3 linked regions of the Caenorhabditis elegans genome follow. The protein of the gene in region 2 interacts with the protein of the main gene of each other region in a pairwise test. Each region holds a gene or a part of one and is shown on either strand. Other genes may lie near its edges.

Region 1 (7,349 bases), on a different chromosome or scaffold from region 2:
AGAACAGTTTGAGGCGAACCCTAACATTTTGAAAACTTTAATATTAAAAGGAAATAATGTCCCGATTGTTCTTGCACGGACGTTTCGCGGGTTCCGCGGTTCAACCAAGTTCAGCACAGTCCAGAACAGAAACTTTGCGCGTAAATTATGATACAGTAGGTCAATGCCCCTTAAAACGTGTGACGTCACACACTTCTATTTGAGGGGACACATGCCTTCTTCACTTCGAAAAACCTTCAAATTTCAGGGAAGAAGTGCCCAGACTTTGCTCATCCGGAGCCCATCATTGACGACCGTGGATTCAGCCGCTGCGAGCTGAAAACCGATCTGAAAACCGCGTTCCAGTACATGAGACGTAACAAACGACAAATGCGAAATAATTTTTGTTAAGCTTCAGACCTTTTTCTCCAGGAATTGCTCTCTAAACTTCAGTATACCCCTTCCCCACAGTATTCTTGTCCCTCTCTCTCCGGTGCTTTGTAATAAAATGAAACAATGTAAAAATATATAATTTATGGTTTTCTTTTTCTATACAATAATTTCAAGAAATATCAGTTAAAATAAATAAACTCTGAAAATTGAAACAAAACAAAATTGATATTCGGGGATTGGAATTCACACAAAAACTAGAGGCTTTTCATAAAATAAAAACCGAATGGGGGGACAAATTCTGAGAGATTTGAGGTTCAAGGAGCAAAAATTGTTGGGAAAGTACCGGTAACAAGTTATTTGAAATTTTTCTGGAAGTGATTTTTTGTTTGAGACAGTAGTGGGGAAACAAAATAAATTAGAAATCTTTGCGATATGCAATTCAATGGGGCTAGCGATTTTGAAAAATATATTAATTTTAAATTTTTAAAATTTTAAACATTTAAAAAATTTTAAAAGGCAGCCGGGCCCATTTGGAAGTTAAAAAGTGAACTTCCAGATGGGGCAACTGGGCTTCCACAAGCTGGCGGTGCATCCGTAGATCGTAATGGAGCACGTGTAAGATTGATAAGGAACATGAACTCTTCTGGAAGCTGGTGTGATGGATAGAGAATGTCCAGGGCCTGGAGTCCAAGAGCATGGAATACATCGAATTCTTGGGTCTGAAAATTGAATAGTTAGTGTTATACTAGACATCCTACTTGCATGTCAGTCTGGAATACTTGCTCTCAGTGCAACCCTCAATAAAAAATAAAAATTTTGCTTCCTGGCAGACATGGATTAGCATTAGAAGCGTGCAAATTTTGCCCTCAAAGCGTGTTACAAGGCTTCCCCGCTAGATTCTACGTCACACGTTGAAAATGACAAACTTACCAATCTAACGATCTTGGCCAATTTGTTCTGAGATCCGCTGCAATGATCCTTGAGAGCATTGATGATGGTACTTTGAACCTGGTCGACGAGAGGTTTGTTGGTCAATCCAAGTACGTTATGTTCTGAAAAAATTTTGAAATTATGAAATGAGGAGTAGATAAACTTTGCTGAAGCTTTTTAGGGTTTAAATTCTACACACCTGTGTTTCCAGCCAAAAATTGAAGAGCAATAAAGGCGGCGAATGCCTGAGGCTCCCAGTCAACCAATGAGCTGAAGGTTCGTGCTTTGTCAACCATGAATCGAATGATTTGTTGGAAGCAGGCAGGGAACGCGTTCAACGAGAAAAGCTCTCCAGACTCGAACATAATTGTGTCGGTGCTGTTGCCACATCGGTTTGCCACGCGGATTGCCATGATTGCGAAGAAAGATCTGCTGAGGAGGATCTGGAAGTCGGCTGGCTGAATCTCGGAAATTTGTGGCATTGCCATGAGAAGCTTCTTGGTGGCATGAAGCTCTCCGTGCAGGATTCTCAGTGCGATAGTCTCATCGAATGGTTGCATCTAAATGATAAACATTTTCCAAAAGAAATGCTAAATTTCCGACTTACAAATTGCCGGACAACAGTCATATTTGTATGATCTTCAATTGCTTTTCCCATCAAAGCTAGAAGAGGAAGCGGTGGAGATGGTTGATCCTCTGATCTTGCCAACTTCGTCTTTGACGACAAACGTCCACGTCTCCCCGATAGAGAACCATGTCGAACAACTGAAATATCACAAATAATGAACATTTCCCAAAGGGTACACCTACTTTCTTTGACCATGCCGACTTCCAAACACTTTTGATAGCGACAGTACTGGCACCGACTACGGTATCGCTTGTCGATTGGGCAGGTCTTGTTACCAGCGCAAGTGTATTTGGAGTTCTTCTGCACAGTTCGCTTGAAGAATCCTTTGCATCCTTCGCAAGTTCTGGCTCCATAGTGCAGGCAAACAGCTCGATCATTGCACACAGCGCACATTTTGTCAGCGTCAAGAGCTGTTTCCGATGGGACACCGAATGAGGTTGGTGTGGAGAGGTTGTCGGGGTTGAGGAAGGATCTGAAAGTTTTCTTTTTTTTTTAATTTCAAATTTAAAATATCAAATTTCAAATTTCAAAAACGAACCTTAAGAAGCCTTGCAACTGCGGGGGTGACGTTGGCAGAGAGCTTGAATGAGGCGATGGTGTTCCGCCGGTATTGTTCGACGAGCTCGTTGTCCCCTGACTTCCACGCCTGGAATCCGATACCGGAAAGTGTTGAGGATAGAATGGAGATGTGAATGAAGGCATCAAGGGATTCGGCATGAAATCATTCGAAAGTCTGTAAGAAGAAACAATAGAAATCCTCTCGTGGAAGCACCAGCTTATGCTCTCAATGGAGGTTAATCCTCGGCTCGATGTACTACGTAGAAAACACGAAGCAAAAGTAATTCACACGTGGTTATCTGTGACGACACTTACGCGAATGGATTGTAATGCGGTGCGGCGGTTGCCAGGAAAAGATCGTTGTGTGGCATTTGAAATGCTTGCATAGTTGGGTCAAGTTCACTTTTGATATGGGTGATTGAGGCGTTCATTTCGGATGGTAAACGGTGACTGGAGGAGGATGGTTTCTGAAATTATTAAAAGTTTATAATTGTGTGCAGAATGAAGCTCTTACCTGCTCGAATTCTTCGGGGATACTCTCGACTTCGGTTTTCGTGGGCTTTGGTACAGTGTTCACCTGATCGCTTGTCTCCTGCAAACTTTCAATTTCAGACTTTATAAAGCCCATAAGTCCGCTAAGATCATCTCCGAGCCTGACCACAGGCTTGTCAATTTTGCTAGCTGTCCGTTTGCTCATCATAACTGTAGGGTGCAGGGGGGAAGTAAGTATGAATATATGAAAAGTGCGCTTCTATCAAACAGCTGATTAGGCGGCTGCCCAGGAAAATTTCAAGGGGCGGAGTCCAGAGCCCTGAGCATTAGCTGCGACAAAAGAGCATACACGAGGAATTATGTCAGTCCACGCCCCGAGACCACCTAAGAGTGATGACGACGTCGCTGACAGAAGCCAAAAAAGAATGAGAGGTGACACTTTGAGGATATAATAGAAACAGGTTTCCCAGAGAGACCATCAAATCAAAATCGAAAGTAAAGAGTTTTCGAGATGGATGAAAGGAAGAAGAAAGACGACAAATTGCGGGGTGTTTCATGCCAAATTTTGGTGTGGACACAGAGGACTGAAGGGGGAGCCAAATGGCACGTGTATCTATCAATTAGCCGGATGATAGTGGGTGTATGTGTTTGAGCAAAACTGAAGGTTAAGCCAGCATTTAAATATTTTTCGGGTTTTCGGACTGTTTATGTGAGGAAGTTAAGAGTTTTTTTGGAGCAGAAAACAAGAAAAGAGCTATGAGAGCTAAACTTTTTGTACTCTTCTCTGGTCTAAAATGACGCAGAGCCTGTGGGCTGAAAATATTTGTTGTAGTCCTCGAAAAATTACCGCCTACATGGCTAAGCAAACTAGAAATAAAGAAATTATCTCGAGAGCTCCAAAAACGTTCTAAAGCCTTAAAAATGCAGGGCGATTTTATTGAGAAATGCTAAAAATGGGTCAAAAATATCAAAAATCATACTTGTTGAAAAGGCCATTTTCGAGCATTTTTTCCAATGGTTCAAGTGGGCAAAATCTGATTTTCAGATAAATCAATATGCATATATTCCTGATTTTGACAGTAATTTTCAATGAAAAGTTGGGTCTAAATTCAGAAACTCGGAGCCATTTTTGTGGGGGGCTACTCTAGTTTTTTTTTTGGGATTTTTGATACATTTTTTTACATTTCTAGACTCTCATAAATTTTGAGCAGTGGGAAAAATTAGAATTTTTTTAAAAAGTTTCTAGAATTCAAATTTTTTAGAGGTTGAAACATTGATTTTGAGTGAAAAAAAATAGTCGACTTCCAAAAACTTCTAAACAACTTGCCAAATTTTCTAAAATGGTCTACTTTTTACAGTAGCCAAAAAAGAAAGCAGCAACATCAAAAGAAACACTACTAATAAATGAATGACATTTTGGTACAAGTGACTTGTTAGCATTAGGGGTCCCACCCCTGCTGCTACTGTCTCTATGACTAATGGCAAATACCATTGCGCCAACACCCAAAAAAAAAGAAAGAGAAAGACTACTACTAGTTGGGTGGAAAAGTTGTAGAATGAATTTGAAACGAGAAATATTTCTCTCCAACCAACACCACTCGTGGCTCTCTCTACAAGTGATCTCACCTATCCAATTATCTTTCTAATAAGCGGGCACGAAATGTGTTGGGAAAGTGCAGGGTGATTCGACAGGAAACAATGACTGTGTTGAGAGGGGATGCCAAGTTTGAAATGAAGTGGGAAACGAGGAGTCGGGTGATATTATTCACATGTTCCCACTCACACCTTTTTTTACCGCCGGAAAAAAGTTCAAAAAAATTATAGCTCAGAAAAGGATTATACCAATTTTCTCCCACAGATTTGAAAAAAAAGGTTTCATGGGAATCTTAAAAAAGTTCTTGGAAAAAGAGCTCACCACAAGAGAATGGAAAAGGCTGTCGAGGTCGGCATCGGTGGTTTTGGAGCCTTTGCGAGACGAGGAAGATGGTCCAAACTCTCCTGAAACCAATAATTAGGAAGAAATGGAAATTTTGTGAATTACCGTAGTCGAATGATGAGGAGCACGAAGAGTTTTTCGACATCTCGCGGAAGAAGTCCCTTCGCAGAGGTTCTTCGTTACGCACGAGGCGTGTGTAGATTTCGATCTTAAAAAATAAAATTTAAATTAAAGTTTTTGCCAGATTTTGTAATATCTCATTTTCCGTTGTTTCTGGGCACATGATTTTTGAGTTTTCTGTTTTTTTGGGATTGTGCAATTTTTGTATTTTTTTTTCTATAATTCTTAAGCCCAAGCCTAATCCTAAGCCGAATCCTAAGCATAAGCCCAATCTTGTTTAGGCTTCCAGAAGATGAGAATAAGAATACTTACTTCGTCCTCCACGCTGGAGCAGGATGAGTAGCTACTATCGACAGAAGCTGGCGAGCAGTTGGAAAACTGAAAATTTACCACATATAGAATTTACCACATATCTTTTCCACCGAACTTTAACAGTTTTTCTGGTACACCTGCCAGTTCGCCTACTCAAAAAAAAAAAGAAATAGGTTAGGGTACCTGATCTTGCAACTCGTCCGTTTGAATACTAAGTTGTTCCATTCAGTCGGACAGACCGCGCATCCGATTAATGAGCGGTCGATATAAGGAGTTGTAAGATTTGAATGAAGAAAGATGAAGAAGAAGTGAGAGAAGAGCTCTAGTAGTGGTCAATCTGAAAATGTTCAGAATTTTAACGAATTTTCAGATTGGGTGAGTGGGAGAGAGAGAGAGACGATCGGGAATTATATAGTGTCAAACAATTGAGAAGGCGGAGTAGCAGCTCGTGGCGCGTCATCAGAAGCACCTAAAAATGCACATGTGCAGGTGATTTGACACTGTGACAACTGATCGAGCAGCAACACTAAAAAAGTCAACAACATGTGTTCTTGCCCGTCTTGAATGGAATATTCACCTGCCCGCGCCTTGATTATCTACGTAATTTCAGGAAAGGAATTTTGACGACACCACCGGGCCGGCTAAAATTAGAAGTGGTCACTCTAAAAGCAGAATCAGCCTTTTTTTCATTGTTTCCAATTCTGTGAGCTCAGAGTTTAGCGATCGAATCGCTTCGATATACTATGTAGGTCAGCTCTCAAAATCAATGAGGAGATCCCAATGTACAGGTGAGTGGTTACTGTAACAGTTAACTTCTATGCCTGCTGCCGTGCCTACAACTGACCTACGGCTACTGTTATCTGCATTAGGGGAGTTGAAGGCACGCAGGTAGGCATAGGTACTTGCAAACCCATCAGTTAGCATCTATGTCTAGAGCTAATTAATCTCTGAGCTAGTTTGTGACTTCATCACAGGTGCAAGATATTTTGTACGTAGACAATTTAAATCCAAAAATGCATGCAGAGTGGGAAGTGTGAAAAGGTCGGAAAATTGCGTCAGCTGCTGCTCTAGACAATGGAAAAAAAGGAAAAAATAGAAAGTATGTGCACCGGTGAAATTATTTAGTCATTTCAAGGGCATTTTCATGATAAGGAGAGTTGTTCGGTAAATTGGGTGCTACGCAAAAACTAATGCAAAAGTGAAAAATATTTTTTGCATAAATGATCTACAGAAAAATTATCTTTCCGGAACAGTCGGAACAATAAATTTCTACGACTAAATGAGCATTATTATATACCAGAAACCGTAAAGGGAACTTATGATATCACTTCCTCCCGCCCATCTCACGACACATCATAACTGATCTGAACAATGGATCATTTTCCGAAAAACATACAAACCTCCGGGGGGATGTTCTAATTGGTTTGTCTATCTAGTTCTAGCTCCTGTGAGTAACAAGGCGTATCAGAAAACATATTTGGAAAAATATGCTAAATAGTAGGAAGGAAGCTGTAAATTACAAGAAAAACGTACATGTTGAGAAAAAATTTTGCGGTTTGTGGGAGCATTAGGAAATCTTTCGCAATGCACTGTTGCATAAGACTGTAGATAAAATTTGAGTTAGGAAATTTTTTTCGAGGAATCGGTTTTTGAGAGAAATGAGGGGCGTTAATTCTAAAAAATGTCCTATTGCACCAGGTGCAATGAGACCAAAATATTTTGATTTGATTATTTGATTAATTTGAAAATAGCATTTATTTGAGCTAAAACATTTGAATAAATGCTCAAAATAGCCTAGAAGTTGTCAATTGCTAGACAATTCGATAATGGATGAATGGCAATTTCCAGGTTATTTTTGAGAATTTTCTAATATGTTTCAGCTAAAATATTTGTTATTTTCGAATAATCAGGTACATCATTTTCTATAGTTTACACTAATTTTAAACGAAAAAAGTTAGATGGGGCAATTTTGTAGACCTATCCTTTGCTCTCATACTTTTT
Region 2 (5,478 bases):
ATAGCAAACCTGACTCTACATTTTTTTGAATGAAAATCAATATTTTAAATTCGGAAAACGAGGATTTTGATGGAAAAAAGTGAGTGGAAAATGGGCCAAAAAATAAGAGAAAGGAAGGAGAAGAAGAAGTGAGTGAGTGCATTTGTGAAATTGGGCAGGAGTCTCCAAAAAAGATTTAGTAGAAAAAGAGAGTTGTAGATAGACAAAAATTAGATTATTTGATTTGTTACGAGGATGTGCAGAAAGAGACAATTGTTCCAAAGGGAAAAATATTCGAATTTTTGTTGGCCTCGATATCTAAAGTTCACAGTTCTAATGGTCTAATGCTTATTGTTTAAAAGTGGTGTAGCGCCAGTGGAAATTTTGCCAAAACATGTAGAAAGGTCTAAAAGAAAAAAGGTCTATCGAAATAAAACAACAGCCAAAAATGTTCAGGTTTTTTCAAAAATTTGTGTCAAAGTTTTGGCATATTCCAAATATTCGAAAACAGTTGTTATTTTTGGGAAAGTTGGAGGTTTCTTGCACATTCTATGCGCATACTATGTGACTCCATAAATTGAGTTTTTCACATTTGGCTTTAGGAACTTTGATCATAGATTTCAGTGAAAAACTTTTTTTTTTCAAGAATTAATTCTCAAAATTCCGAAACCGAACGACATACCGTTTTAATATTTTTATTCTGTGATCGTCGTGTTATCTCTTTTTCCATTTCACTCATTTGTTTTCGAATGAGTGAATCCGTTCGATCACCGGATAATTTCCGCTTTTCTTCACTTTTCTCCTCTCCTCCCGCTGATTCTTGCGAATTTTCAGGAGAATCTGATTTTTCGATGACGTCACCAATTGTCACATCGGATGACGTGGAAGTTGGTACAAGAAGCTCATCTGAAACATATTTAGGTTTGAAAATTGACAATTAGAAAAATGTTCAGGGGAAATCCCTTCAACTTTTCGTGTGGTCTCTAAGTTCCGTCCAGACATGATGGTGGGAGACGTACAACTCCTTTCGGACATGGAACAATTAGTAAATCGGCTGAGCAAAAAGAGAGAGTGTGAGATGATAAGAGACGCAGAGATATCTCTCTTGTCTCTTCTTCTCACCAAAATGTTCTCGTGTTACATGCTCACTTGTGACAAATGAGATACATGCTGGATCTTTTTTGAAGATTTTCTGAAGAACTTTTGGAAAATGCAATTTATTCGAAATTTTTAAAGTTGGAGTTTTACATTCCACTAGACGAAGAAGGAAACTTAATACGTTCTGTGAAAACTGTACGCCAAACGTTTGAGATAATGACTGATCTTCTGGCATTTGGCCTGAATTTCTAAAAGTGAAAAACCAACTAACCATTATTTTGAACAACGCCGCTTGTTTCCGTAGAATCTTCTGCTGGTCTCACCTAAAAATTAAAGACTGAGTTTGATTTCTAAACTAGAAGTATATTTTAATGAACATTTTTTAAAATTTTATCTTTTAAATTCCCGAACCACATTTATTTATTTTAGAGCTACAGGAAGAACATGAAGAAGCTCCCCAAGTCATCACTTCGCCTAATTTCCAGCGTTTTGCTTGTGAGTTCAAGTGTTTGGGCTCTGCCGTAAACGAACCTCTCGATGATTTGGTGACACATTAGAGGACACAACACTGCCAGCTGTCTGCCTTCCGTTATCGTCTTCTGAGCGATGAGATGATGATGCCTGAGAATACTTGAAGGTTATGAAGTGCAGATGAGAATTTTGGGAGCCATAAATGCATTGCTTTTGGTAATATATTTCTAGATCTATTTCAATGTCTAGAAATATCAAATACTGTTCTGCATCAATGCAGAAGCATAACTTTGTAATAAGAATTTGTGAACTTCTTGTGAGCTTGACTAGGTTACATCAAAATTAGAATTTCTAGCCGGCAGAGAGTGACGGAGGCGCCTCTCACACGCCTCGAGCGGGTGTCAGCCATGCATCATCAAACATCCAATAAGCATGTAATGTCTTAGGTTATTATATTGTGGCAAATTCGCCAAATCAGAAAATTATATGGTTTTTCCAGTTCACATGTTTTTATTGTGAATAAAACAATTTCGAGAGCTCTAAAAATAGTTCTTTCTGCAAAAATAAATTTCGCAACTTTTCTAGTTGTACAACAATGTTCCAAAATTGCGAAACATACATTTTCTGATGACTAATGTCATTTCCTTCATTTTTTTAAAGCTTATCAACCCCAGTTTTAAAAACTGCTTCTAATGAAAAATTGACAGTGTTTCAATTGTTTTTGTAAAATAACGCTTTATAAAACAAACCTGAGAAGAAGGTCTTGGCTGTTGAAGAGCCGGCTGAAATTGCATGGGAAACGGAATCGGAAACTGTGCTCCACTCGCGGCCATCATTTGTTGAAAATAATGATGCATGACTTCCTGATATTGAGCTGGAGAGAATACCATCTGAGGTTGAGCTTCACCCTCCTGAGCAGGAGCACCCGCTGTTGGAATATACGGATTCAAGAAGGGATTTGCGAAAAAATGACCAGGAGGGATCATTTCTGTAAAAAATCGAATATATTGAAGAACAAGCTTTTCCTATTTTAATTGTGTTAAGTAAGCAAATATAAATAACCAATGTCATACATTTTCATTCTGTGCACAGAAGTTTCCTAGTGCAATATATTTAAAATATTTTCTTATACTTCCGTGTAAAATAGATTTTTGTAGGGAAGGCAACATGAAAGACGTCCAGCCATATGAATAATAGCCTATTTTTGTGGTCAGGCGGCGGCGGGGAAAAATAAGAAGAAGAGGAGAAGACAGGGAATTTTTAATCGAGAAGGTTCGAAAAACAATAATATCCCCTCTATTTTTTCTTATTCTTCGAGTGAAAATATTTGAGGAAAGGTTGACCAAAACGAAGGAGCAATTCCTTACGAAAAGTTAATATAGTCTTACTAGGGCTGGCAAATCAGACTGAACCTATCTGGATTTCAGAGCCTTTTTTCTGTGTTATTGTGTTTTTTTCATATTTTTTTTAACTGATTTGATTTTGTCTTGCTTTTTCAAATATCTAAACATCAGATTTTTGAAGATCCGGGAATATTTAAACACACCATCTAAATTTGAAAAATGACACTCAAAAAACTTGAAGTCTGGTATATTTGTTTACACTTTAATTCAAAATCTCTTGTAAAACTAACGAAATGGGACTTGTTGTTGCTCTCCTCCCCCACCACCACCGGCTCCACCCCCTTTGCTCGGCGGAGGAGTAGGCGTGGCCGATGATGTGGGGACCCCGTGTTCAGGAGACGTCGTGGCGGCTGTGGCTTGTGCTACTGCTTCAGATGACATCCTGCAACAGAATTGTTCATGGTCCGATGGAAAATAGATAGGAAGATGAGGGAAAGAGAGAGGAAGCGGGAAAAGGACATGGATTATTGGATGCTCTTCTCTCGTCTCACACGCGAATTAATTAGAGCGATGAAGAAGAGGGACAAGAGAGAAGCAGACAGAGAGAGAGTTAACGTGGGAAAATTTAGAATTAACAATTGTCACCTCGAAGTTATAAGTTAAATTTTTTCCTAAAATGAGAAAATGGGAGATGCTCAAAAAGTTTTAAGATCGTGTTCGGAAGTACTGTAACACAACATGGAGTTCGAATCTACACAGACTTACAATTATGTAGTAAAAAATCTACATATCTACATATCTACATATCTAAAAATCTACATATTTTCACTCGGGAATCGCTCGCCCACTATGGGGGAGTCTACGCAAGGACAACGCAAGGACAAGGACAACATTCTAATGGAATGGAAACAATTGCCCGACTGCACCAATTCTAGTACAAGCGAACAATGATAACTTTTGTATTCTGTATTCCTTCACGTCTCCCAGCGAGCGTAATAAATTATTATTATTATTATATCTAAATAAAATACTTTCAAATGAAAATGTTGGTAAATTGCCAATTAAAAAAATTGGAGTTTTTCATTAATTTAGAGCAATGCTGCAAATGCGAAGACCTAGGTTCTAGGTTCACTTGTAAATAATTGAAGCGAACTTAAAATTAAACAATGTATTGGACCAATTATGATAGGTGGAAACTGATTAATTGCTATTAATGTAAATATAACATTTTCAAAAAATGTTGGAAAGTGTTAGAATGATATTTTCATCATGGGTGCACTATAGGTGTAGTTTTTAACATTTTTCCCACTGGAGCATAAGAAAAAAGAACAACAAGCGGAGACTGATCGTGAAACAAAATATACATTGAGGAAACCAAAAAATGCAGTGTAAGGAGTTCCCGAAGCAATATGTCGTGCCATGTATGCACGTCTTCTGAATGCCAATTCATTTGTCATGTTTCTTCGACACTCTAATCCCTACTTTCTCAGCCAAATATATGACACGTGTCGTTTTCTTTTTTTGCTGTTTCTTTTATGCCGTGCTTGCTAATCTCCAAAATATCGAGTGCTTTTTGGACTTTTGAGGGCGTTTGAAAAATATGTTTAACCAAACAATTGTATTAATGTAAGCCGCTAACTAAATGACTTTCAATTGACAATTTTCCAATTGTCGCTTTAGATGTTGAAAACGAATTTTTTCCAGATGTTGAAAATAAAGATAACTTCTTGTATTTTAGGACAAGTTCTAAAAATGTGAAAATATAACTGCATTGTGATAGAATTCCGCAAAGTATTTCTAATTTTTGACCTAAGCCATGGGAATCGTGAATGATCAACTAAATTCTTGGAAATAAATGAAAACATTAGAACAGTAAAAAGTTGAAGCTTTAAAACCTATTCGAGACGTTTCTCATTCGAGCAGCGCGGGGTTGAGAAAAATAGGGAAGAGGCGAGAGAAAAAGTGTCATAATTATGCTAATTCTGCTCTTTTCCATCGTTTTCCTTCACTCTCTCTTTCCATCCAACTCTTTTCCAGGGCACAGACAAAAAAGTATCAAAAACGGAAAGAATACACCAGATGACGGGATGAATGGGAATTTGTGATGGACGAATGGACAATACAAAACTGGTAGATGAACGAGAGAGTATATAAAGATGGAAAAAAGTGTGAATAATTTCACGTTTACTGTTATTGCGGAATAGATGGCAAAAAAGTAAACTTTTCAATTTTGAGATTAGAGTTCAAGCCGAAAATTCCGTTCAAAGTTAGTTCAAAGTTAAAAAATGTTGAGAAGTTTGGCACTACTCTACGTTTAACTTTCAAATATTTTGAATTAATAACTGTATTCGTTTCTCAATTACTCATCAAAATTTAAAACTATTTCAATCGCCTCAACAATATCCCATACTAATCCTTTTCGTTCATCTTTTCCTCTTACATGAGTCACCAGAAAGACGTCAATTTATCAGCTTTTTCTCTCTACATTCTCTAATTTATTGCAATTTCTTTTTTGTGATTTTGTCAGATAGTGTCATTTGAAAAAGTGCACAAGCTTGCACTCATGGTCTTTGGAATGCTTGAAACT
Region 3 (4,009 bases), on a different chromosome or scaffold from region 2:
AAAAACAGTAGTGCTGTGTGAAGTAAAGATTCGGTTTTAACTAGTCCAAAATAAAAGTTTAATCTTTATCACTGTGCCGCAGAAAAATTGTTCAGTGGTTTAAGCTTGTGAAAAACCAAAATATTAGCGAAACTCCGTAAAGAGGGGGTTTTTCAGTTGTTTGATAATTAACTAAAAAAGTTTCAGGATCAAAAATGCAATGCTTCCGTGCTGGCGCAGAGACTGTTCGAGCTCTAGAAGCTAGATTCCATGTAAGCAGCACTGACGAGCAGCTCCAACAACTCGTCGACACGCTTGTAGAAGGTTCTCGGGATAGTTACACAACACGGTTTTACGACTCGTTTCAATATTACACAAATGGAATCCATTGAGTCCGGTTAGGTATTTACTAGTCTTTCAAATTGGTTAAGAATCTCATATCGCTTATTCTTGTTATTGTGATGAAAATTGAATGCACATGAATGAATTGTTGTCAATTAAAAAAAAATCACTTTTTCATATTCTAAAGTACCAGTTTATCAACTTGCTGGCAAGGCACACAGAGAGTAACAATCGAAATTCATAATTCTATCCATCAAACTATATGATCTAAATTTACACATGCATCTAAATTTTGGTATCGACTTCTTTGTCAGCATCAAAAATAGAATCCACAACTTCTACAATAAACTCGGGATATGTCTTCTGCAGAAAGTGACCTTCTTCTTTGAAGTTTGCTGTGACAAATTGTTTTCCAGTTGTAAAGCTTTTCCTGGCTTCTTTAATAGCTTTTTCCGCGTCTTGTTTGTTGGAAATTACATAATGATCTTCTTCAGAAAAGTACATCGCAACTTCTTCCGATTGATGCTCATCAATTAAAAAATCCTTAGATCCGTAACCATAGAACGCGCGAATTCCAGGTTTTGCACGTAGATCGTCAATTGAAAGTTTTTGCTCGTCAAAGGCAAAAGTTTGCATAGGCAGAATTGCAGCGGCTGCTACTTTTCCATGAGAAACACGCAAACCGATGAGATTGTTGTAGACTAAAATATTATATTAATCTTTGGAGGGAAGGGGGTGGGGATCTTACAATAATGCAAAATTGGATGAAGGATTGAGTTGATGGTTTTGTTGTGACGTTTGATCAAAGATATAATGAAGTTTATAGTGCCCATTCTGTAAAACTTGTTAATTTCTTTAAATTTTTGAACAGCTAGTTTAGCTAGTTTTCCAAGTTTTGAATTTGCTCATTCGTGGGATGTGGCCACTAATACAAATTACAAATGATTTGTAAAAATTTCAGCTTTGGTTTTCCAAAAATATCTGTTTTAATTAAACCGAAATGTAACCTTTACTGTATTTTCACATTGATATAAACATCGTTTTAAAAGTATTTGCTAAGGAATCAAAGTAGATGAACTGAAGCTGATGCCACAGCAAGCAGTTTTTTCAGTAGGTAGACTAAGGAAAAAATCGGGTACATACCTTTTACTGATTCCTTTATGCGGAGCGAACCCTGGCGAGTTGATCATCACTGCCCCAACCAGTGGCCAGTTCTCATCATTCTGAACATAAGGTTTTATGAAGAAACTTTTCAGACAACTCACCGATAACATACTTGTAAGTTGCAGTGCATTTTCTCCGCCTCTCGAGTGTCCCATTATAATAAGTCGGTTTACATTTTTCAACTCCAGTGTTTCCATTAAACTTTTCATGTACGAATTTCGATCTTGATTTGTATAACTATTGTGCAAGCCACCCGTTACAAATTCCGACCCGGGATAGTTGGTGCAAATTAAGCGAATTTTCTTCTGCTCAAAAAACGATTTCATGTACTTAAAATCGTTATGTGTACCAGGTGATCCTGATAGTGTCACTACGGTTCCTTTTGTGTTTGATGAAGGTGTGACATCCTGAAGCAATAATTTAAAGGTTAATTTTTTGAAAAAAAAAACAAAAAAACTTACTACATATTTTGACTCGACAGTTGTGGTTTCCTCCAGGTTTACTCCAGTCTTGTAGGTAACATTTACAGTTTTGATAAGGTCATTCAAGTCAAAATATTTTGTTTTCCTGTCGGAAAACCCTCTGGTCAGGTCTAGATTCTGAAAGTAAAATTTTTAATTTATCCCAACTTCTGCTACATTTTTAATTTAACAAGAAATTCACTATGTATTTCAACTACTTTATAAAAAATGTTGTTTCACTAATTTTCCAACTTTGGAACTGAATATGTCTACTTACCTTAACTTACCTTTATTATTGGACGAACGTTTGATAAAATATGACGTGAAGAAAACATCTGAAATACTTTAAATAAACACTTTGATGATACTTCTAAAGCAAAAAAGGAATCTGAAGCACCTGTAAGCATAGGATCAAGAATAATGAAAAAAAAATAGCAGAAACGTTTAATAAATTATTTATATAACTTAAATGACAAAGTTCAAAAATAAATAGGTATGTAAAATAAAGCTTTGAGATCGCTCAAGATATAATCGAAAAGTTGATGATGCAAAGAAATGGCAAAAACAGAGAATTAATATAATAAACACTTTTGAGAGACTTGTGTAACAAATGGGGTGATGATCCAGCGGGTACAAAAGTAAAAAATGAGTCCGGAGAAAATGGAAATTGGCAGAGCCGGGAGTGCTCGTTTGAAGACGGCGAGCAGGACAAGAGTGAAGCAGAGACCGATAAGAATGGCCACATAACAAGCGATAGTCGTGTTCCAGTCAAAGTACGATGAAGCCTTGCCGAGGAGAACAGAGTAGAAAATGAAGTCGCCCAGACCAAGTTTCACACCTCCTGCAATCATTTTTTTGTTGCAAAACATATCAAAATATGAAGAGATGAAAAATTATTGTTAAAAAAAATATGAACAGAGGGTTATTGAAGAAATCCTTTTTTTCGTGACTAGCGCAAGTGGCAAGCTTGCAAGTTTATTTGAGATCTTTCTTGAATCTATTAACTGAAAAGTTTTGAACTTTAAATGAACAAAATATATTCAGCTGAGTGGGCGGCATTGCTCTTCAAAAGTTGAGAAAAATTGAAACAGTGAAAAAAAAACGAATGAAAATTGCAGGGGGTATTTCGATACCGAACGTAGACGGCAATATTTTCGTTTTGTGCTGTCAAGAAAAAACATTTGAGTTAGAAGTGAGAAAGTTCGAGTAAAATTTGCGAAAATACATCCCCTTTTGCCCTTTTTCAGCACGTTTTTCACTCACTCTCTTCCTCTTCGTGCCTGTGAAAATTGGCGTCTTGTACAGTTGGTCTCTCAGCAGCTAGCTCCCGTTCCACCCTTACTCCAGAGTTTTGTGTCGTTGAAGCTGTAGTATTCGATTCGATTTGCACTTTTTGAGGAATTCGTTTCACTTTTGGCCGTTTTGGCGTTTCAGATGAACAACTCGCCTCTCCAGGAAAAGCTGTAGAAGCTGAAATTAGTTTTGGAATAAAAATTCGAAAATTTTAGGTGATACTCACTATTTGAGTCTGACGACGTCGGTTCACGGGGGTCTGTCGTGTTTTCAACTGCAGTAACAAGAACGTAGGGATAGATGACTCCAGCTGAAAATGTTTTAGAATTTGAAACGTCATGAATATTAATTCCATAAATTAGGAAACTTACACGAATAAATCAGCGCCGGGAAAATTGGCTCGTTTCTCTCCTGTGCAGTTTCCACCAAATATCTCAATGGTCCTTTTGGTGTGAGCACGGCAACCAGATCCCAAACCGAGATAACAAACAGCACAAACCACACAGTCCATTCTGGTAGGTACTTGATAAAGACCAGAGCCATTAGTGCAGACATTGTAATAAGGTAGAACTGTTGCAGACGCAATGGACCTTTCCAATGTATACACATCATTCCGAGAACTCCATAGTTACCCAGTCCAAACAAAACCAATAGTGCGCTGGGAGACACATCGAAACTTTTCAGAACTTCTCTGCAACATTGATATTTTTATGAGAATAGTAATATATCAACTTACTGCACATAGATTGTAGTGAATAGGAAAAGAAGAA

What was found. Proteins that work in one complex are often made in the same cells at the same time.
Region 1: the proteins of lin-10 (region 2) and nhr-6 interact in a two-hybrid assay, tested with the Caenorhabditis elegans proteins (one large-scale study listed by BioGRID).
Region 3: the proteins of lin-10 (region 2) and F35H12.5 interact in a two-hybrid assay, tested with the Caenorhabditis elegans proteins (one large-scale study listed by BioGRID).

What each region holds. Positions count from the first base shown.
Region 1 is NC_003281.10:3,571,923-3,579,271, reverse strand, and holds nhr-6 (Nuclear hormone receptor family member nhr-6), read right to left. Parts: upstream 5,692-7,349; 5' UTR 5,574-5,691; coding exon 5,532-5,573; intron 5,422-5,531; exon of another isoform or gene 5,415-5,421; coding exon 5,349-5,414; intron 5,125-5,348; coding exon 5,022-5,124; intron 4,979-5,021; coding exon 4,896-4,978; intron 3,081-4,895; coding exon 3,003-3,080; intron 2,956-3,002; coding exon 2,804-2,955; intron 2,664-2,803; coding exon 2,469-2,663; intron 2,403-2,468; coding exon 2,113-2,402; intron 2,068-2,112; coding exon 1,910-2,067; intron 1,863-1,909; coding exon 1,502-1,862; intron 1,425-1,501; coding exon 1,303-1,424; intron 1,092-1,302; coding exon 882-1,091; 3' UTR 501-881; downstream 1-500. Other genes in the region: C48D5.3 (TIL domain-containing protein), read left to right, coding at 248-390. UniProt on the Caenorhabditis elegans protein: Transcriptional activator that induces gene expression by binding to the NGFI-B response element (NBRE) 5'-AAAGGTCA-3'. Required for proper morphogenesis of the spermatheca and the spermatheca-uterine valve formation.
Region 2 is NC_003279.8:8,115,982-8,121,459, forward strand, and holds the start of lin-10 (Protein lin-10), read right to left. Parts: upstream 3,334-5,478; 5' UTR 3,333-3,333; coding exon 3,182-3,332; intron 2,537-3,181; coding exon 2,298-2,536; intron 1,699-2,297; coding exon 1,609-1,698; intron 1,401-1,608; coding exon 1,349-1,400; intron 886-1,348; coding exon 662-885; intron 1-661. UniProt on the Caenorhabditis elegans protein: Required specifically for the determination of 3 vulval precursor cell fates P5.p, P6.p and P7.p during late second and early third larval stages; required for basolateral localization of receptor tyrosine kinase let-23.
Region 3 is NC_003284.9:916,669-920,677, reverse strand, and holds F35H12.5 (uncharacterized protein), read right to left. Parts: upstream 2,282-4,009; coding exon 2,234-2,281; intron 2,085-2,233; coding exon 1,947-2,084; intron 1,893-1,946; coding exon 1,587-1,892; intron 1,545-1,586; coding exon 1,465-1,544; intron 1,156-1,464; coding exon 1,070-1,155; intron 1,023-1,069; coding exon 607-1,022; 3' UTR 501-606; downstream 1-500. Other genes in the region: pifk-1B (Phosphatidylinositol 4-kinase beta), read left to right, coding at 187-371; Presenilin sel-12, read right to left, coding at 2,519-2,787, 3,210-3,416, 3,466-3,549, 3,611-3,930, 3,976-4,009.